Lonchura striata: one gene and its partners. The protein of the gene in region 2 purifies or fractionates together with the protein of the main gene of each other region. This does not show direct contact. Links are inferred from orthologs where the notes say so. Each region holds a gene or a part of one and is shown on either strand. Other genes may lie near its edges.

The links. Proteins that work in one complex are often made in the same cells at the same time.
Region 1: the proteins of CASK (region 2) and SNTB2 purify together in Homo sapiens (affinity purification with mass spectrometry; 3 studies listed by BioGRID and IntAct, with this or other methods). This does not show direct contact. The link is inferred for Lonchura striata from reciprocal best matches to the Homo sapiens genes CASK and SNTB2.
Region 3: the proteins of CASK (region 2) and ARHGEF26 purify together in Homo sapiens (affinity purification with mass spectrometry; 3 studies listed by BioGRID and IntAct, with this or other methods). This does not show direct contact. The link is inferred for Lonchura striata from reciprocal best matches to the Homo sapiens genes CASK and ARHGEF26.

The regions. Positions count from the first base shown.
Region 1 is NC_134615.1:23,002,552-23,009,551, forward strand, and holds the start of SNTB2 (beta-2-syntrophin), read left to right. Parts: upstream 1-3,996; 5' UTR 3,997-4,109; coding exon 4,110-4,623; intron 4,624-7,000. Other genes in the region: UTP4 (U3 small nucleolar RNA-associated protein 4 homolog), read left to right, coding at 1-93, 219-390, 467-558, 900-996, 1,182-1,246, 1,347-1,469, 1,582-1,741, 1,975-2,081 and 4 more. UniProt on the Homo sapiens protein: Adapter protein that binds to and probably organizes the subcellular localization of a variety of membrane proteins. May link various receptors to the actin cytoskeleton and the dystrophin glycoprotein complex.
Region 2 is NC_134604.1:110,082,105-110,089,219, forward strand, and holds the start of CASK (peripheral plasma membrane protein CASK), read right to left. Parts: upstream 3,051-7,115; 5' UTR 2,951-3,050; coding exon 2,892-2,950; intron 2,786-2,891; coding exon of another isoform or gene 2,645-2,785; exon of another isoform or gene 2,628-2,644; intron 1-2,627. Other genes in the region: uncharacterized protein LOC110474871, read left to right, coding at 2,645-2,785. UniProt on the Homo sapiens protein: Multidomain scaffolding Mg(2+)-independent protein kinase that catalyzes the phosphotransfer from ATP to proteins such as NRXN1, and plays a role in synaptic transmembrane protein anchoring and ion channel trafficking.
Region 3 is NC_134612.1:26,471,367-26,478,669, forward strand, and holds the start of ARHGEF26 (rho guanine nucleotide exchange factor 26), read right to left. Parts: upstream 3,005-7,303; 5' UTR 2,908-3,004; coding exon 2,839-2,907; intron 1,441-2,838; coding exon 1,404-1,440; intron 1-1,403. UniProt on the Homo sapiens protein: Activates RhoG GTPase by promoting the exchange of GDP by GTP. Required for the formation of membrane ruffles during macropinocytosis. Required for the formation of cup-like structures during trans-endothelial migration of leukocytes.

The DNA.
Region 1 (7,000 bases), on a different chromosome or scaffold from region 2:
GGGAGGGTGCAGTTCTGGGACTGGCAGCAGGGCACGCTGGCAGAGTCCTGCGCCGTCAGCACCTCGGCCGTGCTCTCGCTGGCCGTGTCAGAGGTGGGTGACACCCCCAGCTCCCCCCTGGCTGGCAGGGAGCGGAGGTGCCGCACTCGAGGCCTCCTGGCAGTGCCCTCCTGTTGTTCCCAGCTGCTCCCACAGCCCCGTCCCGTTTCCCTCCACAGAAAGAGGACAGCATAGTCGTGGGCACCTCCAGCGGGGCCACCTACCAGCTGCAGCTGCTGCCAGTGAGGCTGGGCGGGCTGGAGAAGCAGTGGGTGCGCACGAAGGTGTTCCAGTTCCACAGCCACGACGTGCGGGCCGTGGCACACAGCCCCACCGCCCTCATCTCCGGGGGTAGGACTGCTGCTGGCTCCGGCACTGGGCGGGATCTCCCCTCCCAGGGTGTGGCTGAGCTGTGCTTGGCTTGCAGGCCTGGATGCCCAGCTGGTGATCCGCCCGCTGATGGAGAAGGTGCAGAAGAAGAGCTACGACGCGGTGCTCCGAAAATTCATCTTCCCCCACGTGAGTGATGCGTGGACTGGGGTCGTGGGGCTGGAAGGGCTGGATCTCCCTGCCCCTCCAGGTGCCTTCATTGCCCTGCCAGGGTTCCTTCCCTGAGCCTGGCTCCCTCCTCTGCCCTGTTTGTCTCCTTTCCTGGTACATCTGGAGGCTCTGCCAAGGAGCAGTGGAAGTTGCCAAGCTGGTCCTGCTGGTCCTGCTGGGTCTCCATCTCCATCCCATGGGACCTGATTTCCCTGCTCACCCCCGTGGGGAGTCACCAGCACTCCAGGGCATTCCGGCTGTGCCCCAGCCCGTTGTGCCAGGCTGTGGGTCCATGACACCCTGCCCATTTTTCCACGCAGCGACGCCTCGTCTCCTGCGCCAGGAAAGCCCGGCTGCTCCTCTTCCAGTTCTCCCAGTACCTGGAGCTCTGGAGACTTGGCTCCACTGAGGAGACTGGTGAGTCACAGGCACAGCTCTCTGGTGTCAGCTCCCTGGCAGAGCCCAGGCTGCCAGCAGGATTTGGGGGTTGAGCTGTCCTGGGCCTCAGGGAAGGGTCTGGGCACTCCCCCAGGATCCCCAGCTGCTCAGAGAGCCCCGTGTGGTTTTCCCACTCACCGGTGTCCGTGTGCTTTCTTTCCCAGGAAAGGACGGTGAGGTCCTTCCCTTGTGCCAGATGCCCGAGCACCTCTTGCAGCTCAAGAGCAAGGTAGGGCTGAGGGGGCTGGGGTGCCCCTGGGGCAGGTGAGGGGCGTGTGCTGGGCTCTGGGGGTTCCTCGGGCCCCCCCTCAGTCCCGTGGCATTCCCAGGGCCCGGAGCACATCTACTGCAGCAGCATCTCACCCTGTGGCACCTGGCTGGGCTACTCCACGGCCTCCCGCTTGCAGCTGTACCGCGTGCACTGCGACGGGGACGGCGTCAGCCTCAGCAAGGTCAGAGGGGCGGGGGGCCGTGGGGCCTGGGGGCTGGCACAGCCAGCGTCACTCGTGGGGACCATGGGTGGCAGCGGGGCGGCTGCCAGGGCTGCGTTCTCCCCTCTGCCAGGTCCCCAAAGCGCCCAAGCTGCTGCCTCCAGCCTACCAGCTCCAGTTCTCCGCCGCCTCCGACAGCCTCTTCGTGGCCTCCGCTCGAGGAGCTGTGCACGTCTTCCAGCTGCAGGAGCCGGGGGGCTGCAAGCACCTGCACACACTGCGGCCGCCCTCAGGTGTGGGCTGGGGGTTCCTGGGGTGGGGCTGGGGGTTCCTGGGCTCCGCATTCCCCTCCCCTGTGGGTGCAGAGCGGGGGTGTCCCCCTTTCCTGCCCTGAGGGGTGTGCGAGTCCCTCCCGGGGGTGTCTGTGCCCTCGTGGCCGGGCACTGGACAGGCAGGGGGGACGTGGGGCTGGGTGTCTGTGGGTCTGAGGCTCCCAGCACCCCTCTGAGCCCGAGGCTGTCTGCAGGCTGCTCCGAGGCCGTTTACCTGCTGGCGCCGAGCGCGGACGGGCACTGGCTGGCAGCCGTCAGCGGCGACTGGGCCATCCACGTCTACAACCTGAAATGCTTCAAGGTGGGCCTGGGAGGGACCCCTGGAGACATCACTGCACCCCTGGAGCAGGGCTGGGGTGGGTGTGTGGGGCAGGGGGTCAGGGGTAGTTCTGGAGGTTCTGCTCGGGGTGGGTGTGTGGGAAAGGGGGTCAGAGGCAGTCCTGGAGGCTCTGCTCGGGGTGGGTGTGTGGGGAGGGGGGTCAGAGGCAGTCCTGGAGGCTCTGCTCGGGGTGGGTGTGTGGGGAGGGGGGTCAGAGGCAGTCCTGGAGGCTCTGCTCGGGATGGGTGTGTGGGAGCGCTGTCAGCAGTGGCTGTGGCGGGTCCCACCAGCACACTGTCCCCTCCTACAGCATCACTGCGTGGTGCCCAGCTACGACTGCGCCGTATCGGCCCTCGCCATCCACCCCATCACCAACAACCTCGTCATCGCCTACTCGGACCAGCAGGTAGGAGCTCTGCTAGTGGAGCTCTCGTGGCTCTGCTCCCTTCCCCGTGTCCCTGCCCTTCCAGCGTGGCTCGGGGGCCTGGCTGGAGCCGCTGGGGCGCCCCTGACGTGTCCGTGCCCCGCAGCTGTCCGAGTTCAGCATCCCCGAGAAGCAGTACACGGGCTGGAGCCGCGCCGTGCAGAGCCGGGGGCTGCACCGCGTCTGGCTGGAGCGGGACTCGCCCATCACGCACATCACCTTCAACCCCAAGAACGCCGCGCACATCCTGCTGCACGACACCTTCCTGCTCTGCGTGCTCGACAAGTCCCTGGTGAGCCGGGGGGAGGGCCGGGGCTGCCCGGGCGCTCCGGGGGCGGCCTGACCCGTGCTCTGCCCGCTCCCGCAGCCCCTGCCCGACGACGGCGCCATCCTGATGAACCAGAGCACCCTGAAACAGCTCCCCGAGACCGCCCGGAAGCGGCAGCTCCACGCCTTCAAGATCTGCAAGAAGTTCCAGGTGGGTGGTGGTGTTGGGGAGCAGGGTCAGGAGGTGCTCGGGCTCTGGAGAGGGACTTTGAACAAGGGGACAAGGGGGAATGGCTTCCCAGTGCCAGAGGGCAGGGTTAGATGGGATAGTGGGATGGAATTGTTCCCTGGGAGGGTGGGCAGGCCCTGGCACAGGTGCCCAGAGCAGCTGTGGCTGCCCCTGGATCTGTCCAAGGCCAGGCTGGACAGGGCTTGGAGCAACCTGGGCTAGTGGAAGGTGTCCCTGCCATGGCAGGGGGTGGAACGAGATCCTTTAAGGTCCCTTCTACCCCAAACCATTCCCTATTTCCGTGATTCCCATCTCTGGCCTTGCAGCCACTGCTCTTCATGGATCTGCTGGACAAGAACTGCCTGGTTGTGGTGGAACGACCCATCATGGACTTCAAAACCCAGCTGCCTCAGCCTGTCCAACAGAAGAAATTTGGCACCTGAGAGCAGAAGAAGCCACTCCAACCTTGGGAACCGTCTCTGTGCTGCTTTCCTGGGGCACTGTAAGAATTTTCTTAAGGTGCTGTAGGAATAAAACCTCACTGTTGTGTACATGCCCAGGCTCAGGGCTCATCCTTGTGCGTGACTCCCTGTTGTTACACCACCATCATGTCAACATGATCTTCATATCCTTCCAGTTCTCCTCCCCGGGGCACAGGGATAAGGTGACACCCCAAATTCCATCCCTTTTCCCTCAGTGTCTAATCCCGGTGTTGGATTCTCCCTCCGCATCAGTCGTGTGGGTCCGTGGGTGCTGCCTGGGGCCGGGCAGCCTCATTCCCTAAGGACGGGGGCTGTGGGTGTTGCGTGGGCCAGGGAAGCGTCATTCCCCAGGACGGAGGGCGAGAAATCGGGGACCACGGAGAGCACGGGAGATTCACAGCGGGGCTCGCCAAATAAATCGCAGCGCGCCAAATAAATCCCAGCGCCAGACATGGCGGGCGGGGCGTGGCTTCCTTTGCCCCGCCTCTCAGAGCGACCAATCGCATCAGCGGTGGCTTAGCCGCCTCCTCTCTGATTGGTGGAATCGGGGCGGGGGCGGGGCGGCCCCACCCCAGTCTCCCGCGCCCCCGAGCCTACCGTGGCGCGCCATGCGGGCGGGGGCGGGGCCGCAAGCCACGCCCCCTCCGCCAGGCCACGCCCCTTCCCCGGTGACCGGCGGCGGCGGCGGCGGCATGGCCGTGTGGACCCGGGCTTGTAAAACGGGGCTGCTGGAGCTGCTCCTGCGGGACCGCTGGGTCCGCGTGTCGGCCGAACTGACCGGCGAAACGCTGAGCTTAACGGCGGAACCGGGAACCGGCGATCCGTCGGTGGTGAACGGCGTGGTGAACGGCAACGCGGAGGCGGCGGCACCCGGTGGCGTGAGGAGGGTGCGGGTGGTGAAAGCGGAGGCGGGAGGGCTCGGGATCAGCATTAAGGGAGGTCGAGAGAATCGGATGCCGGTGCTGATCTCACGGATCTTCCCGGGGTTGGCGGCGGAAAGGAGCGGAGCGCTCCGGTTAGGCGACGCCATCCTCGCCGTTAACGGCGTCGATCTCCGCGATGCCACCCACGATCAAGCTGTGCAGGCGCTGAAGAGAGCCGGGAGGGAGGTCATCCTTGAAGGTAACGCCTCAGCCCCTTCCTGTCCCCCGAATCCCCGGTACGGGCCCCTGGTGCTCTCCTGTCCCCCGCCCCGGTGCTCCCCCGCCGTTACCGGCTCCCACCACCGCCCCTGCCGCTGTCACCGGGCTCCCGGACCCGCTCTGGGTCGCTTTTCCGGGTGTGGGACGCCACTGCCCCACCCCAGTCCTGGCGTGTTTGTGTGTCCCCCCAAATCCCCGGAGCCTCGGGGGGCCCGCAGGACGGGGGGCAGGGGACAGGGGCTGGGGCGTCCCTCGGGTCGGGCTGCTCCGTCTGTGGCGGGATGGCAGCCGGGCACAAGGACAGGATATCCCCGCCGACTGCTCCTCCAGGACAGGCTGGGCTCCCTCGGAGACACATCTGGGATCCCCCAGGGCAGCCTTGGTGTCCCCTGGCTGTGGCGTCCCCCTGAGCAGGTTGTCCCCCATCCTTGGCACCCCCAGGCTGGCTGGCTGGCCCCAGGCGGGGCTGTGACGCCGGGTGCTGGTCCAGGGTCTGCCCACGTCCCTGCGGGCTCGGTGTCCCCGCGGGCCCCGTGCCCGCGGCACAGCTGGCACGGGACTGGCCCACGGAGCCACCGGCTCCTGCCCGACCTGTTCCCGGCAGCCCGACAAGCTCGGGCAGGACCTGCCCAGCCCGGCGGCGCGGCACGGTGTGCCACGGGGCACCGCGAGGCCACGAGCCCCCTGTGCCATCAGGGAGGGCTATCAGACAGTGCTGTGGTGCCACACGCACTGTCCTGGTGTCCTGGCACGTCTGTCTGTCCTCCGCTGCACGAGGCTGCTCCGGGGACACGGTGCCCGCTGGGCACAGGGCACAGGGACGGGTGCTGCCGCTTTGCCACGAGCTCCTGGCACACTGCAGTGGCACGAGGGGACACGGCTGGGCTCCCCGGAGTGGGCACACCTGGCACGAGGCGCTGGGGCACGGCTGGGGTGCCGCAGGGGTTGAGGTGGAGCAGCGGTGTCAGGCTTGGTGCTGTGGTGGGGGCTGCTCTTGGGTTCAGCCCGTGCTTCCTTCCTCCCGCTGCCCGTCCTTCCTCCCGCTGCCCGTCCTTCCTCCCGCTGCCCAGCCGTTTGATCCTGTCCTGCAGCAGCTCCAGCTCTGTGCTGTGTTTGTCCCTTGCTTCCGCCACGGGCACCACGGCAGACGCCTCTTCTTTCCCTTTCCTTTTCCCTTTCCCTTTCCCTTTCCCTTTCCCTTTCCCTTTCCCTTTCCCTTTCCCTTTCCCTTTCCCTTTCCCTTTCCCTTTCCCTTTCCCTTTCCCTTTCCCTTTCCCTTTCCCTTTCCCTTTCCTTCTCCCTGTGCTGGGACAGGAGCTGATGGGGGACACTGCCCATCCAGTGCCATCCAGCCCCATCCCTCCTCACAGCCCTGGAGCTGTGACCGCCCTGGCAGGTGCCAGAGCTTCTCCTGGGCTCAGTGCCAGTGGTGGAGGGGAAACCATCATCTCCGTGGGGCTGGTGTCACCCATCCTGGGGCTGGGTTTGGCCTCGGGGCCCACGCCAGGCACCACCCACGGGCCCATCTGCTGCCCTGGGGGAAGGGAGCCCTTCCGGAGCTGTGGGTGCGGTGCGGACCATGGGCACTGCCCGGGCACAGGCCTGGGGAAGCCGGGTCGGTGCTCCCGGCCGGGTGTGGGGGCTCGGCCCGGTGAGGCCGGTGTGCCGGCAGCAGTGCCGTGCAGCCGGAGCAGGCAGTGCCGTGCAGCCCCTTCCTGCAGCGGGGCAGCGAGGGGCGCAGCGACAGCCGGGCTTCCTCTGCGGTGAGCGCGTGGGTGGCAGTGGCTCTGCCGGGTGACGGTGGCTCCGTCGGGGCAGCAGCGGCCTCGTGGTGCGGCTGCGTGCTGGTCACGGCTCGCCAGAAGCAGAAGGGGTGGTCGCACCCCCGTGCTAGCCGCGTGTCTGCTGGCACAAGGCGCTCCGTGTCCTGCCTGCACCGTGGATGCTGCCCACTGAAAACTGGGAGCCGGTTCTGCTGTCCCCACCGTGGGCAGACACAGTCCTGGGCATCACCCACCATTCCCGGTCACCGCGGGGCACCCGCACCCCTGGCTCCCGAGCTGCTGGCTGCCCAGCTTGGCCTCTCACCTTCCTGGCTCCGTCGGGGTCAGTGCCTGAGCTGGAGCCCCACGCGCTGAGCTCCCTCCCAGTGCTGGAGGCAGCTGCCCACATCTGGCAAACATCTGCCGAGCGGCCCCGCAGCGGGAGCTGCCCGCGGCGCTCCCTGCCCGGCCCGGCAGCGGGATTAGGGGTGTGGGGCCGGCGGTAATCCCGGGATCAGCGCGGCGGCAGCAGCTAATATTAACTCCTGTGCTGCCCGCAGCAAGGGCAAGCACCTCGTGGCTCAGCAGAGCCGC
Region 2 (7,115 bases):
ACTTCTTGTTGAAGAATGTTTGTGCCAGTTGAAGAGAGTAACCTCAAACATAACACGTTTGGTTAAGTAAAAATACATGACTAATGTTAGTGCCATAAATGCCACTTTAAAAAGTTCAATGAGAAATTGAGATTGTTATTCCAATTTGTATCTTCATATAGCTTTCAGCAATGGAAAGGTATACTGGAAATACATGCAAAATAAGATTTCCCCTAACATTTTTTTCTAATGAAAACATGAACTAGAATTTCTCTCTATCCTTCCTGGCCTTTCTTTCCACCCACACCCCTTAAAAATGAAAAATGCATGCTTGCAGAACTTAAACACACTAAATGTCACATAATAAACAGTTTATCATTGCCATTCCCATCACTTCATTCATATACTACTACCCTGTAATTGTTCCTCACCAAAAGCTATTATTGCTGCATTTACTCAAAGTCAGTCTTATCAGTTTATTGTATTTAGAAGTGTTTAAAGCTTATCCTAAAGATCAGAATATGCCTCAACAAATTGGACTGTCTACTGTCAGCCAGGAAAGTATCTCCTGATTTCTCTAGCAAATTGTATGGCAACTTTGACTAAACACTCAAGACGTTTTACAGGCAATGACCTCTTTCCCACACCCTTTATGAAAATACCTTTTACTACCTTAAGTGACAGTGGTAACTATCTATTCAGGAAAGATAAATTACACATTTTAGTATTTCATGTGTCCAAAATGCAAATCAGAGCCAGATGTGCTAGCTGCAAGAAGTAAATCACTGTACCAATCAATAACAAATCCCAGGGACATGCAGACATTTAGTGTATATTTCACTGAAAGATGTTTGGTCAGATGCATATGTAGCCATTCATAGCAGATTTACAGCAGCTTTCCTGAAGTTTCTTATGGACAAGCAAGGTGGTACCCAGAATCTATAAGCTAAATAAAGATGCTGCACCTCTGGTCCCTTGGAATTTACCTGTATAGCATTGCAAAGAAATAGCAATACCACTCATAAATTGTACATGACAGTTGTGTGTTTATATTTTAAATATTTGGGTTTTTTTAGAGGACAGACTTGACATCTGTTCAGAAAAACCTGAGTAATCACTACCAGCTATCAGCCCTTCACACCACCACTGTTGCTATTTTCAGTGATACACCCTGTTTTTGCTACAGTGTTCTTGGCATCATCGTGCTGCTGTGATTCAATATTTATCTGTTAGATCTAGTTACATCACAACACCCTCTACACTACCCAAATCTCGTGTGGAACTTCTGCAGCTAACACCTAATCCACCGGTTTTCAGCTCTCCCTTCGAAATTCTCCAGCCGCGGAACAAAAAGTCGGTGGAGATGTGCAAACATCTGGCCCCCTGCGAATCGATCATCCATCCTCTGAAAGGGTTTGCGGTCATGCATAAGCACTGCACCTTCCTCCTGATGGCAATCGGGCAGGAACAAAACCGAGTGTGAACTGCAGTGGTTAGCATAAAACCACTTGTGAAAGGAGTGTGCCAAAAATTGTATTCAAAACACTTCAATTACAAGAGTTTTGCTCCTCAACAGCATCAAGTCAAAGCAATCATATTCCATTTATGATGGCAAACAAGGCCCTTGGAGCTTAATATTTTTAAAAGTTGTGTTAGGAGCAAGGTGGTAGTGTCTTGTGAAACAACAGAACCGAGTGCTGAAACTTCTGCTGACAACAAAGCCACCTGCTATGTCCAAGACCAACATTTCAGCATAATCCCGAGAAAAGATTAATTCTAAAATATTTTTAGCCCTGGCTTTGGAAGCAGACAGCACTCCATGTACACTGAAAAGCATCAGGGTGGAGAGCGGGCAAGAGAATACATGCAGGAAACATTCTTTGTTTATAACCAAAACACGGTCAATTATTCTCATAAAATCCATTGTCACGAAGAAAAAACTCCAAGCACACTGAACAGTATCACTATTAAGGTTTGCAGAGCAATCTCAGCTTTGGAATCAGACACACAGAAAATTAGGTAGTCACAGTATTACTGTATATTTGCTGTCCGTTTTGCAACACAGACACAACTAGAGAAAATAAATGAAAGATGATGAAGAAATAAAGAATGCATTTCAAAACTGAGCAGTGACAGAAATACGGGGGCAGGGGAGAATGGAGTTCAGCTTTAATTCTTTATCGCCATCTGATTTGGGGGAGTCTCTGCATTTTCTTGGTGACTCGAATTGTCATTTTCATCCAACAGTGGTAACCCGAAACAGCAGCTGGGTAACGCCAGCCAGAGCCTCAACTCCCAGGTTTCGTACAAGCCTCGAGCATCGGTTTAACAGCAGTTGCATAATAAGACTCAAAAGGCCAAGCACTCCTCCTGCCTTGTACATCTCCATTTCCACAAAAACCAGAGTGATGGATCTGGACGAGAACCGAGCACTACCCGAGCGCCACTACCAAGCTGGTTATTATGCAGCAAAGAAGAGGAAAACCCAACACCTGGCGCACAAATATGAAGACACCCAGTGAATAGGTGGATCTACGGAGAGCTATCTTCCCCTTCCCTTCCCCAAGAGGCAATCCTTGATGGGTGTGCCAGGAATGGGATATCGGGGGGGAGGAGAAGAAAAGGGGTGGGAAGTGGTTGCCGCTTGCTGCAGCCAGGCTGAGCGATGGCGAGGTGGTTAATCATGGTGGCTGAGGAAACATGGGGTCACTTCTCCCCCTTCCGCCTCCCGTGTGACGAGGACGGTGGGCACCGGCCACGGGGTGGGGGACCCGGACCCCGCACGGACCCGCCGGCGGCGACTCAGGTGGGTCCCGGGCGGAGCATCCCGGTGCCCGGTGCGGGCGGGGGGCGCGGGGCAGCGCTCCCCCGCCCAGCCCTGCCCTGCCCTGCCCGCTCCCCGCCGCACTCACTTGCCGATCACCTCGCAGAGCTCGTACACGTCCTCGAACAGCACGTCGTCGTCGGCCATGGTCCGGGCGGGGGGGCTCAGCCCGAGAGGCGGCGGCCCCGGGGACGCCCGGCTCCCCCGCCGCTCAGCGCCCACCGCCACCACGGTAAATCCCGGCCGCTCCCAGCGCCGCCCGCCCGCCCGGGGCTCCCGCGGCCGCGCCGGGACTCCCCGCTCCTGCCGCTCCTCCTCCGCCTCCTGCCGCGGCCGCCGCCGCTCCCCGCGCGTGTCGCACCCCCCGCGCCCCCGCCTCCCACCCCCCTCCCGCCCCCTCCCTCCCGCGCTCAGCCGCGGCTCCCGCGGGCGGCTCCGGCTCAGCGGGGCGGCGCGGGAGCCATGGAGGGGATCGGGGCGGGCGGCAGCGCCGGGTCACTCCCTCGCCGGGCGGGAGCGGGGCGCGCGTTCCCGGGCGGGCGGGCGGGAGCGCCGGGAGGGAGGATAATAGTGGGAGGGGGAAGGGCGGGAGGAGCCCCGGCGCGGGCGCTGGTTCCGCTCCCGGGCGCGAGGAGGAGGCGGCGGCGAGGCGGCGGTCGCGACAGGCGCTCGCGATAGGCGCTCGCGGCACCGAAGGGCGGGCGGGCGCGCGCGCGCGCGCGTGCTCCCGGCGCCGCCGTCACGCAAGCCCCGTCACGGGGGCGGGCGCCGCCGGGGGGCGCGCGCGCGCACGCGCGCGGGGCGCGGGGTGGGGGGGCGGCGAGCCACGCCCCCAACCGCCCGCTCGAGGGGTCCGGGGAGGCGCGAGGGGAGGGGGCTCGCGCAGGCGCGGTGACGTCATGGCGCGGGGAGGGGGAGGTGGGTGTGACGTCACGGCGCGGGCGCGGGTGCCGCTCGCGCTTATCGCCCGTGCGGCCCTGACCGCCTTTATCGCCTTTATCGCCATTATCGCCTTTATCGCCTTTATCGCCTTTATCGCCTTTATCGCCATTATCGCCCCCGTCACCCCCAGCGACCCCGCGGCCGGCACGGGGACGGTCGCGCCGCGCGCTCGCAGGAAACCGGGCAGTGGCGGTGAAGAAGCCGTGTGCGAGCCGGGCTCGCACGGCTCTGTCCCGTGCTTTATTTTCCCTTCTGTGTGTTCCAGCGGGATGCAAGTGTTTTCTGCGGCACGAACCGGACCGCCTGTGTTGTTGGGAGAGCCGCTCTTTATCCCTAAAACAGTGAATTCGCCCTGTGGCAGTGCGCCGTGAGCCGCTCCTCCAGCTGTGCGGGGCACCGCTGGCTCCAGCCGCGCGGAACAACGCGCGGGAGACATCGGGTGGATTTTAAATCACCCCATGCTCGCACCATTCATTGTTCCATGGTGTTTAACATGCTGCACGTGTGTGCTTTTCCAAGTTTTTTGAAAACTTGGATGTTTTGTTGAAGAAAGCAAAGCTCTCTTGAAGGGTTTAGTCGGGAACTCTTGCAGTTTACAGAAAGTATTTATTTCTCTCAAGGTACAGTAGTACACGTGCAACTTCCCAAAATTCATTAACAGAGGTAAATTATGGAATTGTTCCCCAGACTGAGGAAAAAAAAACTATCAGAGCAGAATTATCTGATGAAATGGTTTAAAGGTTGGCTTTAAAACGTAGAGCTGACAACACCTTACCTTGTTCCTGTCTCCAGAAAAAATTTAAAAGTAATAAAAAAATAAGAAAACCAGTGAAAATAATTACATCTATTTAATTACATCTAACTAATTATATCTAATAATTACATCACTGCACAGTGCTATCTTAAGGGTGAGAGACATTCCTGTGGGTCTGTGCTCCATCCCATACAAACCTTTGAAAAATATTTAAACCACCATCTGCTCTTTGGACTGCAAACAAAAAGCTGATATATTTAAACCGTTCTCTAAATTTCACACAGCTAAACGTGGGCACCCATTTTTTCCTTTTGCAGGCCCACAAGGCTGAGTCCCACACAGGTCACTCAGAAAGAATTTTTAGAATATGGGTGAGTGTTCACTTAGACTTTGAGCTGGAGTTGTCTGTGAAGCCGTCATGAGAAGTTAACATAAAAAAAACAATTCAAAAGTGCACAAGAAAGAAAATTGCTGGTGGTGGATCTCTTCCTGAGCTGGGGCAAATGCTTTGGCTGCTCCAGCAGCATCACCTGAGGTGTTGCCTCCCTCTGGATGCTGAGTGCTTGGTGTCACACCAGGCCATATTGCCCAGGTGAGACAGTTTAAACTGAATAAAAGTTTACCAGGCATAATATATGGGGGCCTTTGTGCCAAAATATTGTCATAGAGCAAACCTTCATTGGACATTTGTGTTGGTTTTGGGAATAGGCAGCACATAAATGTGGCTTTCTGCTAAAGTACAAGGTCCTGGGGCACAGGCTGGGGGTTTGTTGTGATCCTGGGAAGGAAGTTGGAAGACACAGAACAAAAATGAGCTTTTGCTGAAGAGAGGTGATCCATTCCCTGGCATCCAGGGAATGCCAGTAGGCATCTGGCTGACTTGAGGGGTCCTAGAGCAGCCTTAGCATTCACTAGGCTCAAAAGAAGCAAGGTGGATCTATCAAACCTGTCCTCACTCAGTACAGGGGAAGAGTGAACATGGGTGCTGCCTCCCGTTTGAGTTGCATGAGGAGAATCTGTCTGAACCAGGATTTTGGTGTAGATCTGGATCATAAAAAGTTGCACAGTGAGCCAGTAAATGCAGCAGAGATGCCACTGCATCAGCAGTTACTGGAACAATTGAGAATTGTGCTGTTACTCTGTTTCAGATTGAATGGGCTCAGGAAAATATGAGCGTTGGTCTGCCAGAAGGACCCAGTAGCATGATAATCCAAGCAGAGCATTTGCAGGTGTGTTTGTGATCAGAAATTCCAGCCACACGTTCAAAAGTAGTCATTCCCTTTCGTAAGCAAGCATTTTTGATTTTCACCCATTTATCCAGTGTGGATCCTTACAGATTGTGGGATTAAATTAATAATTCTGAAATACATACATCTAACATCTCATCAAAAAGTGTGTAACCATAATGTTTGGCATACGAGCAGAAGTGACTTTGCACTTGAGACCTGAAATTATTTACTGGCGAGGTAATGGTCTGAAAGCAGATCAGTTGGTTCAGAGCTGGGAGAGGGACTTTTTGATCAGGCAAGAGTAAGAGAACACTGAGTGTTCACATGAGGAAATGCCCTACAGCCCCTGGTAGCCTTTCCCAAAGCACTGCACGTGTTTCAGCTACCTGTCTGCCAGATTCTGGACAGGCTGGTTAAGATTGTGTATGTTTAGGTTAACCAGTTTTGCATTCAAAAAATGCTAAGGAGTAGCTGAGTGTGGGCTCGGGCACTAGAAAACTTATTTCTTAAAATTTTGTGGGGTTTTCAAATTTTATTCACCTGGGGTTTTCGCATACAGTCCGCACAGCATGAGCCACAGGACAGGTAAGTTGTTCAAAAATTGGTTTTGGAGCAGTAGTTATCAGTTATCCAAAGAGCCTTTGTGTTTTCATTTAAAATTTGATGTAAAAAGTACACGATGAAGAAGAACAAGAAATTTCAGTGGTTTGACAGCGTTCTGTTATCCCACAGATGTAGAAAGCACCAAATCCTGTTCCTCAGATTCCAATTGTAACAGGGTCTTGGGTACTTGATCTGTAACCCAGATATTAATTCCCTCCCTCTTAAAAAGTTTGAGAATGACACTGAAGATGAGTATGAGCTGTTAGTATTTTGTAAAAGAGAATATTGCAGGCCTACCGGGTTTCTGACAAACTGCCATATTGTTTAGGTGGGTCAGTTCTGTGAGCTGAAAATTGTTCATACTTTGGGCAGTAGAAAACATGTTTTGGTTGAAATGAAAAGTGTTTTGATCACAGGCACATTTTCAGGGATATTTTACAGGGACATTTGCAGTCCCTGTAAAAACTGTTAGTGAAAAGAGCCTTCAAAAGCCATCAGCTGACCTGGAGTAGGTCTGAATGATTTCTTGCAAAAGTCTGTAATTAAATCAGCTCAGAATCTGCCATGTGGCAGGGTAGGCTGCAGCTGCAGAGCTCAGGTGTAGCACACAAGTTATGCCACACTGTAATTAAGGAGGCAGGGTTTCCCACGAATGCTTGTCTTAACAGGTGAGTGATGTTTGTCTGGCAAGATAAATCTCCAGCTGCATTTTTTCCCCCCCAGTGGAGTTGGTTTTAAGTTCCTTCACAGTGTCAGTTCTCCATTGCTTGGTGAGAAGGAGACT
Region 3 (7,303 bases), on a different chromosome or scaffold from region 2:
CTCTGAACGCTGTCTTCACATGCCACTGTTTCCAGTTCCAGAGACCTGAGATCAGAACTATTGCACAGAGAAAGTTCAAAGCCTGAGGAAGCACGAGCCCCGTGAACCAAGACCAAACACACTGCTGGCACTGTCAGTGGCAAAGGAACACGGGCGTGGAGCACTCCTGCTCTCCCCACCTCCCTGGCCACACAGCCCTGGCACCAGCAGCGAGCAAGGGCAGAAATTCAGCACCACAAAACCCACAGAGCAACGAAGCCACTAAGCAGGCAGGCTCTGAAGGGCACTTTTAGATGGGCCAGGCTTTGGATAAGATCCAATCTTGCCCTACAAGAGAAAGGGGAACTGAGGTGGAGGTTTGGCTGCTCCAGGCAGGGCCCCAGCTCGCCTGGCTGGGTGGGTCTGTCCCACCTGCCCAGACCTGGGGTGCCTTTGGGGCAGCTCCTGGGGAAGGGCTGTCGAGTTCCACACTTTTAACAGAGCAAACTGTCACAGCAACTGAACTGTGGGAGGCATTCCAGAGAAGGTTATTAGCTGGGATCATCCAAGACAGACAGGACCATTGGAAGGGAATCCAGAAAACATCATGAGGAGATAGTGTGAGAAGAGATAAAAATAGAGTAGGGCAAGGGATGATGCAAAGAGAACACAGTGGGAAGCTCTGAAAACACAGAGGAAGATAACAGCAGCTGAGATGACCTCAAACAGGCATTAAGCAGAGAAAAGCCAAGAGTAGCAGTTATTATAACATCTATGATGGGTCTACAGAAGTTCTGTTTTCTTGTTGAAGTATCAGGAAAAGCAGCAAACTTGGCAAAACCCAGAATTAACGAGTAACACAAAAATACAAACTCCACATACAAAAAATACAACTCCACAGACAGTGTTTTTCTGACACTTATATTTGAAGCCTAGGTAGCAAGAAAAGAAAATGCTTGCAGAGCCCAAGGGTTCAGCCCAGCACCCTGAGCTGATGAGAAGGCAGAAACAGCTCTGTGAACCCCAGCCTAGGGTAACCATTTGGTGTGTGCTGCAGGGATGGCACAAACCCCTGAGGGCAAATGTCCTGCACTGGGCAGAGCCCCAGACACAGGCAGGAAGGCAGGCAAACCTCCTTGGAACTGTCAGGGCTGAGGCAAACACAGCCAACAGCCCACGTGCTGGGAGGGACAGCAGCTGAAGTGGAAAAGAAGCCCTTGACACACTTTTTAGCCTGCCACTGCATAGTCTTTAAAATAGCCCTAAAATAGGCCTAGTGCCAAAATTATAGCCCCACATCTCAGATGCATTACTGAAAAACAAGGTACTGAGTCTGAGAGTCCATACAAAGGAAGTGTGCCAAACGATCCTGAAGTTCATTTCCCTTGGGAGTTATTAACAGCTCTGGACAGAACAGGGCTCACCTTCTCCATCGAACGTCCCTTGTCCTTTCAGCATCTTCTGCAGATAATTTTAACAGAAAAGAGAGCTATGTTAGAAGGAGGAGAATGCAAAATAATCACAGTAACAAGAATGTCTGTTTTACTCAAGACTTGGGCACCAAACCAACAGGCCCTAATCTGTAAACTTCGTATGTTGGACACGAGTTCATTAAAAACAACTGTGTCATCAGAGAAAGTGAAAAGCTACCCTAGTTTAATTTCTCTCATACCTTGTTTAGATGTATTTCCACGTGTTTCAAAAACACATTACACTGGCTTGAGAGGGGTTCAGGGAACCTACAGCTCATCCCTCTGTGCCAGGGCTGTCTGTGGAGGCGCAGCTCTGGGAGGCTGCCCTTCCACTCTGCAAACAAAACCACTGCGAGCACTTTGCCAAGGAGCCTTCTGAGAGCACAACAGACCTCTGAGATCAAACAGCTGTTCTGGTGCGACACGTCCCAGGGCCCAAGAGTCTATTTAATAAAACACTACTTGCAGAGAACTCCGTAAGGACAGCACAGTTTCATGTCCTCCTACCTTAAACACAACACACTGCTTTAAGTCTACTACCAAACCAAACCACACTCTGCAGCTGTTCACAATTTCATCAATTTCTATTTCACCCTTGCAGTGTTTTCACAGAAGTACCCACTACCATAAACTGGCTGAAAACTGCCATAAAGCTGATAATTATTTTAAAAGCTACAGCATCAACTCTTGGCCTGATGTACTTTATTACACATAAATCTACAAACACATTTCATACAGTAACAAGTTATATCTAAAATAAGGAAATCCAATACTACAGTATGATAAGTAAAAGAACACTATCAGTATATCTCTATAATTGAATACATTAACATTCAATGTAACTCTACTATAGGATTCTAAGGGATTACAACCAAGATTTATAAATAGGCATGCTGCTTTTACTTTCAAGCATTAAAAATTAAAATTGCTTTCAGGCATTTAAATACCTGAAGTAATTTCTATCAATTTAAAAAGTACTCAGTGATTTTTAAAAATACTGTCTCAGAGAAGTGAGAGAGGAAGTTCATTTTTCTGTCTCTATTCTAGCACGCAGACTTTATCAAGACAATGTCCCTTATGTTTTTCCTGTTTACTGCTTTCTGGGACACAGGTTTTAAGCCCCTGGTTCGGTTGTGAAAGCTGGAGAACCCAGCAGGAACAGCGAGCAGGAGGCAGCCAGCAAAGGCTCTGAGCCGCCTGGATTTCAACAGAGCCCGCCATCTCCAACACCTCACTTGGAAAACAGCACTTTCAAAGCTCACAGTTACTATGAAAAGTTTTGCATTGGGACAAAACCAAACTGAAAGTTCCCAGCGTTTATGGCAAAGGCAGGATCAGCAGGCCACGCTCCCACGGAGCCAGCCCCTTCACCTATCAGCGCACTCACCTTTATCCTCCCCAGGCTGGAGAACTTCTCCTTATCTTCAACCACCGCTTTCAGGATGGGCTGGGACATTCTGTTTTTCTTCTTGCAGTCTGCGGAGCCGTCCAGGTCCACGCCGCTGACCACGGCCCGGCGGTAGGACGTGGAGCGCAGCCCGCGCCGCAGCGCGCCCGGGCCGCCCTCGGGCTCGTCCTCGGGGTCGCTGCCCGGGGCCGGCCGGGGGGTCTCCAGCAGGCTGCGCACCCTGGGGCCGCGCTCGGGGCCCGCGGGCCGGCTCTCGGCCAGGCTGCGGGGGATCAGCTGCTGCGAGCCCGCCCTGCGCGCCGCGGGGCTCCGGGAGCCGGGCAGCGCGGGGGGCTCCGCGCCCGGCCCCGCCGGGACGCGCCCGGGGCACGGCCGCGGCTCCTCCGGGACCCCGGCACCCCGGCCGCTCCTGGGAGATGGTCCCGGTCCCTCCGGGACCCCGGCACCCCGGCCGTTCCTGGGGGATGGTCCCGGTCCCTCCGGGAGCTCGGCAGCCCGGCCGCTCCTGGGGGATGGTCCCGGTCCCTCCGGGAGCTCGGCAGCCCGGCCGCTCCTGGGGGATGGTCCCGGTCCCTCCGGGGGCTCGGCACCCCGGCCGTTCCTGGGGGATGGTCCCGGCTCCTCCGCAGCCCGGCCGCTCCTGGGGAACCCTCCCGGCTCCTCCGCACCCCGGCCGCTCCTGGGGAACCCTCCCGGCTCCTCCGGAGCCCCGGCAGCCCGGGGACACGGTGCGGGCTGGGCGCTGGCTCCGAACACGATCCGCTGCTGCTGCGGGGCCAGCCCCGCGGTCCGGGGCGGCCGCGGCCGGCGGCCCGGCCCGCTGCCCGGCGGGGAGATGGTGCCGTTGGCGGTCGAACCGACGGGGCTGTCCGGAGCCAGGGCGAGCAGCCGGGAACGCCCCGGGGACAGCGCGGGCGAGCGCGGCGGCCGCACGGTCCCGTTGGACACCGATCCCATGGCGGGGCTGCCGGGCGAGGGGGCGCGGGTGCCGGCGGGCCGAGTCGCGGAGAGGGCGCACCTGTCCTCCACGGGGAAGTCGGTGACGAGCAGTCCGCTGGGGCTCTGGTACGACCGCGGCCGCGGCTTGCTCCAGGCGAGGGACTGCGGGCGGGGGGTCGCCGGCCGCCCGCAGCGCGGCGCGGCGGGGCCCGCCGGGGGCCGCCCGTCCATCGCCGCCCGCCCGGCGCCGCCCGCGAGGGAGGCGGGCGCGGAGCGCGGCCCGAGCGCCGCCACAGCCCCGCCGGGCGCGGGGCCAGCGGGGCCGGGCCGGGCGGAGCCGCGCCCGCCGCCGGTGCCGCGCCCGCCCCACCTGCGGCCCGGCTGGGGGCGGGCGGAGCGGCGCCTCCGCCGGGGCACGGCCCCTGCCCCGCCCGGCCGGGCTGCCCCGGGCCCCTGCCCGCGCAGGTAGCGGCGCCCGGGGCCGCGCGGTGAGCTGCGGCAGGAGCCGGGCCGCGTTACCGCGGGCGGGTGAGGAGAGCCGCGGGCAGGACCAGCTGCCCGGCCCCGCCGTTCGCTGCGGCGCCAGCGCCCGGCGGGGTGTGCCGGGGATCCTGTCCCGTCGGGGATCCTGTCCCACCGGGGATCCTGTCTGAACAGGGCTCCTGTCCCACCGGGGATCCTGTCTGAACAGGGCTCCTGTCCCACCGGGGATCCCGTCCTAACAGGGATCCTGTCCCGCTGGGGATCCTGTCCCGCCGGGGATCCTGTCCCAGCGGGGCTCCTGTCCCGCCGGGGATCCTGTCTGAACAGGGCTCCTGTCCCGCCGGGGATCCTGTCCCAGCGGGGATCCTGTCTGAACAGGGCTCCTGTCCCGCCGGGGATCCTTCCAGTGGGGATCCTGTCCCGCCGGGGATCCTGTCTGAACAGGGCTCCTGTCCCGCCGGGGATCGTGTCCTGCCGGGGATCCTGTAAGGACCAGACAACTCTGTGTACATGCACTTAAACTTCAGATGTACTATTAATTCTTCTGCCAGAGAACACAGTAAAACAAAAAATCTTGCTAAGAATCACATTAAGCAATGCACAAAGAAATTAAAATGAACAAATGCGTATGTCCACAAATAAGACAAGACTGCAAATTGCCACTCCAGTTTCAAACAGCCAGAGCCGAAGGGAAAAGCCACAGGCAGAACCTAAGATGCTGGTTTAGTTGTCGCTTGGGATTTCCCAAAGGATTATTTCTAAAATTATCTCTTTTAACTTTCCACATGAAATTGCCAAGCTATTGGATATAGTTGCAGCATATTACTTAACTCATAAATCCTAATTATTAATGACCGAGGTAATCAGCTTTTACAAGATTATTCTCTTGCACATACTTATTCACTGTGCTACAATTACAGGATTAATTTTGATTCCTGAGCAGCCACCTCAGTGTTCCATTTCATGCACAGTAAAAGAGAAATAAAACCTTACAATAAAATTGCCATCATCAGGAAAGTAAAACCAACTCTGTAATCTAAGAGAAGAAAGAAATGTAAGCATGGTTATTAAAATAATCCCGAGGCTGTTGTGTAGCAGTGCCCAGTGTGAGCTGCTCAGGGCAGTGCCCAGCGAGTCCTGCCCGGCACAGAGCCCGCAGCACCCTGGGCACGGGGGCAGAACCTGCAGGGCAGCTTTCCTCCATCTCCACAGCACTCCGGGTCACCCATACGGACCTTGAGCACTTCCAGGGACACTTTGAAGTGAGCCTCCCATTTCCCTGCCCCAAGACCTCAAGTCTGGTGTCAGGACAGGGACAGTTTGAAGTGAGCCTCCCATCTCCCAGGCGCAAGACCTCCAGGCTGGTGTCAGGAGTTGCACAAACCAGCAGCAGTTCCATCCCTGCCCGCAGCACACACTCTGGGATATCCAGAAGCCCACATTTATCATAACCAGCATGAGGCAGGTGTGCACAGATATGTTCAGCGGGGAACATTTTTATTGCCTGAAAACCTACCAAGGAAAATGGAGGATTATTCTTCTGCTCCCTACATCCCCATCTAAACCACTTTGCCTCTCTGTGCAAAGAGCAAAGCCAGCAGTGAGGCCTGGCTCTGTTTATGGCCCCAGTGCTTCATGTCTCAAGCAGTGCTCGCTGCTGCTGGCCCGTAGGATGGTCCTGGCCATGCCCTGCAGCTTCAGAGCTGTGCAGGTGAGCCTGGCTGGGCGCTGGAGCCCAGTCCCTGCTGCCTCTGGCCTCCCCAGGGCCATTCCCAGCACACTGTCCCCTCTGTGCCCAGAGAGGGGGGCCTGGAGTGGCTGCAGGACCAGCACCCAGCAGTGCCCAGCTGCTGTGAACCCCCAGAGGAATCGGCTGCATGTGCCATCTGTGGGAGCTGCCAGCTGGGAGCTGCAGTATAAATGGCACTCTCTGAGACTCTCTGTTTCCTGGGGCTGCTGACAGGCAGCTGAAGAAGGGCCAGCCGTGCTCTGCTCACAGCAGCTCTCTGTCCCAGAACTGGCACGCAGGGGGTGAGGCTCCCTCTGTGCCACACAAGCCCTTGCCAAGCCCAGGGTGAAGGGGCACCATGAGCTGAGAGGAGGTGTCGGTGTGGCAGCCGGGCACTGGGACACCTCTGTCACTGCTTTCACTGCTTCTCCAGGGACACAAACAGGGAGTGCAGCCCCTTCCCAATGCCAGGAGCAGGATTTTCCCGAGGAGGACACGGTTACTGCAGCAACACAGGCAATCCCACAGCACTGCCAGAACTCAGGAGGGTCCAGCCTTCTGACCTCCTGCCCCTCCTTCTTTTCTCTACAACTGCACATAGGCTGTGAGAGACTTTACCCTGAACACTGCTCAGCCAAATTTTAACTGTAAATCAATCCAAGATGGCAGAACACATTTCATTATTCCTATTTTCCTCTTAATTGATTTTTTTTCAGCAATAATAGAAAGCTTTGCAGCATTCATTAAAAGCTTTAGGGGAAAATCACATCTCATTGTACTGCAGGAATAAAGGACCTGGTAATACCCATGGAGCATCAAAGTTGAAACAAGATGCTGCTTTGCTGCTCAACTGGGATGAAAAGAAAAAGCGTAAGAGAGAATGTGTACCCAAGAAACACACTGAGGACTGAGGTGCTGCTGCCTCTGCTACTCTTGTCATGGAGGTTACAAATTCTTCTCTATGACTGGGAAATGAACTTTGCCTTTGCTAATATCTAGACTGATATTCCTTGTTTCCCAGCCAGTTTACCAGCACTAGTTCCTGGTCACGTCTCTTCCTTTGCTGCCCCAGAGGTGGGTGCAGAGATTGTCTCCTCTGTGAGAGGAGGGCACCTGGCAGCTCCATCATTTATAGAGCTGCCTGGGAATTTTCCAACTGGAAGTATTTGAGATTTCAATATATTTCAATGTATTTCATATTTTGTGTGTGCATATTTCATGTTTTGATGTGCAAAACATTTCCCACCTTGCTTGAATTATATGTTCTTCTTTGGTTTTGCTTTTAATTTCCCA